Linked DNA regions of Ovis aries. The protein of the gene in region 1 interacts with the protein of each later gene in a biochemical or structural test. Links are inferred from orthologs where the notes say so. Each region holds a gene or a part of one and is shown on either strand. Other genes may lie near its edges.

The links.
Region 2: the proteins of CDK2 (region 1) and SKP2 form a complex in vitro, tested with the Homo sapiens proteins (3 studies listed by BioGRID, with this or other methods). The link is inferred for Ovis aries from reciprocal best matches to the Homo sapiens genes CDK2 and SKP2.

What each region holds. Positions count from the first base shown.
Region 1 is NC_056056.1:163,556,915-163,561,425, reverse strand, and holds the start of CDK2 (cyclin-dependent kinase 2), read left to right. Parts: upstream 1-1,933; 5' UTR 1,934-2,054; coding exon 2,055-2,170; intron 2,171-2,892; coding exon 2,893-2,970; intron 2,971-3,087; coding exon 3,088-3,208; intron 3,209-3,856; coding exon 3,857-4,027; intron 4,028-4,478; coding exon 4,479-4,511. Other genes in the region: melanocyte protein PMEL, read right to left, coding at 971-1,046. UniProt on the Homo sapiens protein: Serine/threonine-protein kinase involved in the control of the cell cycle; essential for meiosis, but dispensable for mitosis. Phosphorylates CABLES1, CTNNB1, CDK2AP2, ERCC6, NBN, USP37, p53/TP53, NPM1, CDK7, RB1, BRCA2, MYC, NPAT, EZH2.
Region 2 is NC_056069.1:38,234,039-38,238,549, reverse strand, and holds the start of SKP2 (S-phase kinase-associated protein 2), read left to right. Parts: upstream 1-2,100; 5' UTR 2,101-2,280; coding exon 2,281-2,324; exon of another isoform or gene 2,325-2,408; intron 2,409-2,822; coding exon 2,823-3,094; intron 3,095-4,511. UniProt on the Homo sapiens protein: Substrate recognition component of a SCF (SKP1-CUL1-F-box protein) E3 ubiquitin-protein ligase complex which mediates the ubiquitination and subsequent proteasomal degradation of target proteins involved in cell cycle progression, signal transduction and transcription.

The DNA.
Region 1 (4,511 bases):
AATCTGGATCCAAAATGTAAGCACAATATTTTAAGAGCCTTGGGTGGACACATATGAACAGAATATTTCCAGAATACAATAACGAACATAGTAAAAGAAAAAGACTTGAAACCACACTGTGAATGAGGGAAGTCAGATCAAGGAGAAGTTCCAAGAAGTCTGTGAGACCAGGGATCTAGAGAAAGGGGGCACCGGGGTACAATGTAGATATTTCTGCACATCACAGACTATCCTCACTCCATCTCTAACATGTACCAGAAACCTGGTTGATTCTCCTGGGGGACGATCTAGAATCATCCCGCTGAATATCTCACCACAAGAACAAGAGAATCATAAGATGCCCCATTCTTTCTCCACTCCCAATCCTCCCTCCTCAGAGCAGCACGAGACATTCCAGACCCTCTCACCACCCCCACCCCTTGCTCCCGTCACGAGGCCCCAATCCCCAGAGCCCTTTCATGTGATGCTCAGCTGAGACCCCTCTGCCTATCTCTTCCAGCCCCAGAACAAAAGCCTGGGCTGTGTTCACCCATGCCCATCCCAAAGAGGGGATGAGGTGCCTCTTTACCCTTCTATCCAAACACCACATTCGCTTTCTCCTCACTTTAAATACCCTATCCCAAGTGCTTAAGACAAAGCCTAAATGAGTTTCCACTCATTTTACTACCTTGGCACCCATGTTCCAGCTCACTATTCAGAGCATCTCAAAATTAGGGCCACAGAGACATACTGTTCTCTCACCCGTCCAGGTAGATGGGGTTGTTTTCAGGTTCAGTCCCAAGTGCCTGAACACATATGCACCCAAATCTTCATGTGGGGAGGGAGCTCAGTTGCCCATGTCCTCACTAAATCAAATGGATGAGAAACACCTGAAGCACTGCTGCTATCTTCCACTTTAGGGAGAGAAAAACCAGAGCAGGTGTGTAACCCTAAACTCACACTTGTTCATGTCCACACATCCCACACTCACCTTCTGTGGCCCCTACAGCCAGAAGAACACCCATCAGAGCCACATGGAGAAGGTATTTTCTCAGCACCAGATCCATCCTGTTCTTCCTTCCAGCAACCAAAGACTCTGGGGCATTGGACAAACCCCTGTATAAGAAGGGGGTGCTTATTTGCATAGCCCTTCCTCCCCTCCCTCCAGGCAAATCCTGGGAGGAGCAGAAGGATCTGAGAGACAGAACAGAGGAGGGATCCTGGTCCCTGGACATCATGCTACTCATTGACAGTTTCTGGCTTCACAGGGTCAGTCTCATCTTAAAGTACTCCATCTCCCCTCGCGGGGAAAAAATGACTGAAGGGCAGCTACAAAACATAACACGTACCGGACGCACAGGGTTCATCATTGGAGAGTGGATCAATCTATTGTGAGTCAAACCAGGAACCTCTCAAAATAACTGTAGAAGCAGCGACCCTGGGTCCAAAAACAGACAGTATTGGGGTAGGCTGAGAGAAGTGGGACAACGACTCTTCGGAGCCCTAGGAAACCCTTACAATGAGATTTCCAGTTTCCTGCTTTCAGAGGAGGCTCCAGGGCGAGGTGGAATTTAATACATATTTTCCTTAGGGTGGTGAAAACGGTGATTAGAGATCAGGAAATCCCTATAGACTCAGGACACAGAGAGAAAACTCGATCCCAAATCAGATACTTGGAAAAAGGTGTTCAGCCTCCCCATCCAGATAAAAATTTATCCTTAATACTCCTCGGAACCAAAGTTACTCGGGGTGGGGTCGTTTGCAGCGAGGGACACAGGGCTGGCCCCGCCCTCTCTGACGTAGACCAATAGGAAGATCTGAGGGAGGAGCCAGGGAAACGCGGGAAGGAGAGGCGGGGCTTCTGGTGGCGGTAGGGAACTAGAGGGGGGAGGCGGCAATATTGTTTCAAGTTGGACAAATTGACAAGAGCGAGAGATACACTACGTTCCATCCCGACCTCGGGTCGCGGTGCTGGGCCCTGTTTCCCTCCTCGGCCCCCGAGAGCTGGGTGCCGTTTTTTGCAGGTTCCCAGGCCCCAGCTCCAGGGCCGGGCTGACCCGACTCGCTAGCGCTTCATGGAGAACTTCCAAAAAGTGGAAAAGATCGGAGAGGGCACGTACGGAGTTGTGTACAAAGCCAAAAACAAGTTGACGGGAGAAGTGGTGGCGCTTAAAAAAATCCGCCTGGACACGTGAGTGGCCTCTGTACCCGGGAGTCCTGACTCGGGAGCTCCTTGAGTGCCCCCCACCCCCACCGCAACAGGCGGGTAGCCTTCCAGGGACCGGAAGGTAGCAGGGAGGGAAGTCTTTTGAAGTGGAGAGGTGGGTTGAAGGACGAGTAGAGGGTTTCCCGGTGGAGACTATAGGATAGTGTAGAATCCATGGGAAATTTCCTCCCCAGAGGCGGGCGATGTCCCCAAATGTACAGTCAGAAAGTGTCAGGAAGAGGAAGGAGCCTTTTGAGATGGGATCCAGGACTCCCCGACGAGGAGATGGGTTTTGTGATAAGTGGTAAAGAGCACCCTTATAAATGACTAGACCAGCCCTCAGTGCCCCAACCCCACCCGCATCTTAGAATTCTCTCTTTCAAAAGAATGGCAGTTGAACCTTACTGGCACCTCTAGAGAGGCTGGGTGTTGTTACTTCCACACACACACACTTTTCCCCCTTTTAACTTCACCAAGAGGCTTTGCTAACCCAGCCCTGGGCAAAGAAGATATGATGATCTTAATGGGTCTAAAAAGACACTCCTGTCCATCCATGATTTAACCACTGAAGCACCCTTTCTCTCACTTAATTAGGGGATGCTGGGTTGGTGGGGGCTGTGGGTGGGGTGGGGGGAATGACTGTACTGCTGAGGGAAAAGAAATATTTGTAACCACATTCCCATCTCTGCTTTCTCAACTTCTCCAAGTGAGACAGAGGGTGTACCCAGTACTGCCATACGAGAGATCTCTCTGCTTAAGGAGCTTAATCACCCTAATATTGTCAAGTAAGTATGTATCTGGGAGGTGGGAGGTGCTCTGACAGTAAAGGAGAATGTCTTCTGTTTGTATTGTCTGGGCCTTTCTCTCCCTCACGTGTATTCCTGGACCTCCCCCTTCCCTAGGCTGCTGGATGTCATTCACACAGAAAACAAACTCTACCTTGTTTTTGAGTTTCTGCACCAGGATCTCAAGAAATTCATGGATGCCTCTGCACTCACTGGCATTCCTCTTCCGCTCATAAAGGTACTCCTTCTCATCAACTCCTCCCCAACATGGGCATGTTTTGGGAGTCCGGACTGAAAGCAGGCAATCCGGACTGAGTGTTGATTTATCTTGGTTTCCTTCCCAGCCCTCACCCCCCTACACACACACACGCACACACCTTTTCTTGTGGCTCTTTCACTGCTCATTATGCTTTTAACCCTAGGGCTGGGCAGGGGAATCAAAGAAGTTGAAACTCTAGTAAGTCAACTTAGCAGCTCAGGTGGAAGGTTCTTGAGATGAAACTCGGATAAATGGGACTGGGGGGTACTTGGTAGATGCCTCCAGAAAGCCCTTCCACCTGTTTGGTGGGAGAAATAGCCAGTGAGTCTCTGTTGTCCATTTTTCTGGGTTCCTTACTCCGGAAGCTACTTTCGATCAACCAACAAACATCCAACACACATTTATTGAACACTTTCAATGTGCTGGTCCACGCTATGGAACATAAATGCAAAACTGAATGAGACCTGATCTTATCCTCAATGGGTTGACAGTCCAACTGGAGAAATAGCTTGAAAACATAATTACAATTTAACTAGTAAAGGCTTTAGTAGAACTTTGGAGTTACAGAGGAGACCCTAATCTGCTCACGGTGGTGGAAAAACAGAGTCTTTTCTTTCCCCTTGTCAGAGCTACTTGTTCCAGCTGCTCCAGGGCCTAGCTTTCTGCCACTCTCATCGGGTCCTGCACCGAGACCTTAAACCTCAGAATCTGCTTATCAACGCAGATGGGTCCATCAAGCTAGCAGACTTCGGACTAGCCAGAGCTTTTGGGGTCCCTGTTCGTACTTATACCCACGAGGTGAGTCCTCCTCTGCATGTCTTCTCTGAACTTCCTGGGAGGTGTTAACAAGGACATTCATAGAGTTTTTAGTAACGATCTGGCCAGCAGTTTCTCACTAGATGGAAAGTATTTCTGACACCACAAGAGGTCTTAGAGTATGCACAGAATTCATATATTGATAGATACCGAGCCAGGAGACAGGTGGAAGGCATGAAATTTAAAATTATGACCATTTGCCTCAAGTTTTCCAAGAAGGTTGCAAATTGAGGGTTCAGAATATATGTTCCCCAGAACCATGGATTAGGCTAACTCTGGGCTAAGAAGTTGTACCCAGTTATTTTACTTAGGGGCAATGAGAGTAAAGGGAAGGATGGAGGGATAGAAGTTGCTTGTGAAGAAATTGAGTTAGCAGAATAGTGTTTAGAAACTGACGTGTGGATATCTTCATGTCCTGTACTCTTTTCCTCAGGTGGTGACTCTGTGGTACCGAGCACCGGAAATC
Region 2 (4,511 bases), on another chromosome or scaffold:
TCGATCCCTGGATCGGGATGATCCCCTAGAGAAGAAAATGGCTACCCATTCCAGTATTTTTGCCTGGAGAATCCCCATGGACAGAGGAGTCTGGAAGGCTACCGTTCATGGGGTCGCAGAGTCAGACAGGACTGAGCGACTAACACTTTATAAGACCTCTATCTGAAGTGCCTTCTTCCAATTATATTTCAAAACTTTACTCTCATCATGGCATTAAAATTTTTTTTATTTCTTCTCCTCCATTAGTTTATAAGCTCCCTCTGTCTTGTTCAATTTCCTGAAGAAGACTAAATATTTCCTCTGAATTGCATTTTTTTTGTTTGACATTTTGTTTTATTTTACTTTACAATACTGTATTGGTTTTGCCATACATCAACATGAACCCGGCACGGGTGTACATGAGTTCCCAGTCCTGAACCCCTCCTCCCACCTCCCTCCCCATACCATCTCTCTGGGTCATCCCAGTGCACCAGCCCCACGCATCCTGTATCCTGCATCGAACCTAGACTGGCAATTTTAAGAGAAAGGATGTAGACTTCAAGCAGGCTACTGCTTTCTCCTTAGCCACAATATCATGAAGATAACTTTATGTAAAAAATAGAACACTGAATTTAAAAATATTTTCCATGTAACATTAGCTTAATGAATTGTGAACATTCAGCTTAGTATTCTTCATCTAGTTTCAACTAGAATCAATCAGTGAGCAGATCCATTCTTTACCCCAGTTTTATCTAGTTTCAAGAGTCAACTACTAAAGGATCACGAACGCCCTCCTCTGTCAAGAGGTGGTTCCATTTCAAGCTATGCACCAAGCCTGAAACAAGCTGATATTCAAGAGGGGGAGGTTTAACTCCAGTGTAAATTGAATTTTTTTTTTTAAGAAATAAGAAGGTATGCCACACAGCATGCTTAAGTGATATTCTAGTATTTTTGTGATGACGCTGGGTGCTTCTTTCTGAACTTTATAAATCCTCTCCATTTTTACTAGGGTTGGAAGTTATTCCCCCTCTCTCTTCCACTGTTTTCCCAGGCTCGCAGTTATAGAACATTTGCACAATGGATTTCGCACGGTCATCCTACCCAGAAAATGGCACTCTCTAACCATCTCCAAACTTTTCTCCGTGGATATAGTCTAAAAGCAAGCAGCTGACTTTTAGGACGTGAGGCAAACAGAATTTTTTTTTTTTTTTTTTTTGAGACAGTAATCGAATGGTTTTGCTGGTGGCCGCTAGCGTGGCACGGAAAGCCTTTTGCAAACAATAGTCACCTTATTTGTTCTCATGCTAGCATTTATGAGACTTCTCAAGGCTGCCGGAGATGCTGAGCTTTCCCCTGGCACTCACAGCAATCTCCTGCTCCCCTAAAATTAAACCTCCGCCTGACGTTTGAACCGCGCTTTCGTTTACAAAACGCTCTCACGAGCCTCCTCTGATTTGACGGCGACTGTGAAACGAGCGTTCTTGCCGTGGTGCCTATTTTACACGTAAGGAAAGGATCCTGTCCACAGACCTAGTCCTTAGGGCCGCCCTCACCCGGGTGGAGTACGCAGCTCCAGGCAGAGAGGGGAGCAGGTGTGACGCCCACGGCCGCAGCCTCTCACCTGGCCGGCAGGGCGTGCCACGGCCTCCACTCAGCTACCTGGGACGTAGGCCCCGCGACGGCGGCCTCTCGGGGTCTCCGGGGCCCCCCTCAGTCCGCGCTCGGCCCCACACCTCAAAGTGCCTCACGCTCTCCTCCTCGGGCTCACCGTCCGATCTCGCCGGACAGCGTCCAGAAGGGCCTGGAAACCCCGCGGCCGCCACAGCCTTACAGGGTTTGGGACCCACACTCCTTGGCGACAGCGGCGGCAGTCACCAAAAGGTCGGGGGGTCCCGAGAAAGGAAACCCGAACCCCAGTCAAGCAGCTGACATTTCCCCAGTTAGCCGGAGCACCGCCCACTTCCGCTTCCCCGCCTACCCTGTGGGTCGTCCGGTCCCGCAGCCGCGCGGGGTTGTGGGTATCTCGAAGGCGGCAAAGCTGCAAGGAAAGGAAGTAGTGGCGAGGCAGCCGGACTACCAGGCTGGGCAGAAACTACAATTCCCAGCAGGCAGCGGGGCCGCAGACGACGGCTGCGGAGGAGAGCCGGCTGGCTGGAGAATTCTGCGCGCGCTGCTGGGATGGAACGTTGATAGAGTTCGCGGGTTTCGCTGCAGCAAGCCGGGGCCGCACGCAGTGCGCCGCACGCAGTGCGCCGCCGCGCGCCAAAGCGGGAATTCGGGGGGCGGGCACCTCTGCAATTAATGCACGCATTTAAAACTCCCGAACCTGCGGACGCCATGCACAGGTAAACCGATTGCAGAAGGAGACAGAACATGAATGGACCGTCTTAATTCTTTTAGGCCGCGTGTTTTGCTACTTGGCTAATATTGTTAGTAATGCTGTAATGTGAATGGCTGCTTAGCCTCTTTGGGAAAACGTGGATGGGTGGATGCTTTAGTGCGGTGGTCAGCGTGGATGTTATTTGTCTTCCCTTATTGGGCTTTCCTGCTGCTGTTTTCAATCAGTGTGTGATTGCCCTGCCTCTTTCCTTGTATGTTCCCTCCACTTTTAAGAAATTCTTGAGGCCTTCTGCATGATCGGAAATCGAAAAGCCTTTTCGATGTGTTCGGTTATTTTCTCTTTTATTCTTGGGGACTCGCCGCCGGCACGTAAAAATGCAGTTCAGTTAACTGCTGTGAAAGCTTTCTGCGGTGCATAGCTTGCAGCTTCCTTTAGGCCTGTCTGGGAATTATTTACGGGCGTGTTTTTGAAAGGAACGTGGGGCTATTGTGCGTTTCTGCAGGAAACACCTCCAGGAGATACCCGACCAGAGTAGCAACGTTACCACCAGTTTCACGTGGGGATGGGATTCTAGCAAGACTTCTGAACTGCTTTCAGGCATGGGGGTCTCCGCCCTGGAGAAGGAGGAGGTGGACAGTGAGAACATCCCCCAGGAACTGCTTTCAAACCTGGGCCACCCACAGAGTCCCCCACGAAAACGGCTGAAAAGCAAAGGAAATGACAAGGACTTTGTGATTGTCCGCAGACCTAAGCTAAACCGAGAGAACTTTCCAGGTAAGGTTTGAGGGTAAAATACAAGCCCAGTCAATGGTGGATTAAATTGACCGGTTATTTTGTCGGTAGACCTTTGTTTAGGGTTATTTAGCATGGGGTGGGGCCCTTCTAAAGAAATTGTAATTTAAATTTATTTATTTATTTTTGTCCGTGCTGGGTCTTCCTTGTTGCCCCGGCTTTTCTCCAGTTGCAGAGACTTCTCTTTGGGGGAGCATGGGCTCTAGGACGCAGGGGCTTCGGTAGTTGGAGCACGTGGACTCGGCAGTTGCGGGTTCCAGGCTTTAGAACACAGCCTCAATTACTGTGGCGCTGGGGGCTCAGTTGCTCTGCTGCGTGCGGGATCTCTTCCCAGATCAGGGATCGAACCAGTGACTGCTGCATTGGCAGGCAGATTCTTTACCTCTGAGCCACCAGGGAAGGCCAGATAGGGTCCTTTTAAAACTGCCCAATTCCTAAGTTATTTTCCAAAGAAACCAGACCACTGGTTGTGCTTACAGAAATGGTGGTATGTGTGTGTCTTCAGAGACAGAACTGACTTGTAACCGGTGAAAAGACATTCCTTCCTTTTTCTTTAGGAGGGACTCTGCCTGGTTAAGGGCCAGCTCAATACCTCTGACAAATAGAAACAAAGCAATGATCCATAGAATTCTTTTTGTTTATATTTGGCTGCTCTGTAGCCGCTGTTGAGCCTTTTACCATAATCACTTTAGTTATTTATCAAAGGACTGCTGAAGTGAATGTTGAGCTAAGGGGGAGAGACTCATCCTTACAGATCCATTCCCAAGAGGAATTCTTTATGCTGTCTCCATCACTCACTGTGTTATCTGTTCAGTTTCCCCAACCCCATAACCTAAAGGTCAGTCAGATTCCCACCATCCCCCCCCAAAATCCAACCAATCATTGAATCTTTCCCTCTTGTCTCCTAAATATTTCTCATATTTAGGAAGGGACTCATAATTCAGAGCCTTATCCTCCCCAGATCCATCCCCCAGAGCTAGAGTGGACTGATTGAAATGTAGAACTCCACTACGTCATTCCCCTCTAAATAGCTCTCTGTTTCCAGGCTTCTCAAGCTGATTTATAACTGCCTCCCACCGTGGATCAGAGCTCCAGGAATACTCAGAACCATAGGGTAAACATAGTGCGTTGACCTGGGGTTATCAGTTTTTCTTACTGGCAAGCCATGTAAAACATTAATTCAGCAAATATTTGCTGAGCACATTGCGTCTGCTAGGCATTGTTCTAAGTACTGGGGATATAGCAGTGAGCACAATAAAAGCATTTCTACCCTCATGGAGCTTCTCTTCTAGAAAGAGGATGCAGTATGCACAAATCTGGTGTGTAGTATGTTAGAATAAGTGCTATGGCTAAAAACAAAAATAGAACACGCCTAGAGGGACAAGAGATCCTGGGATGG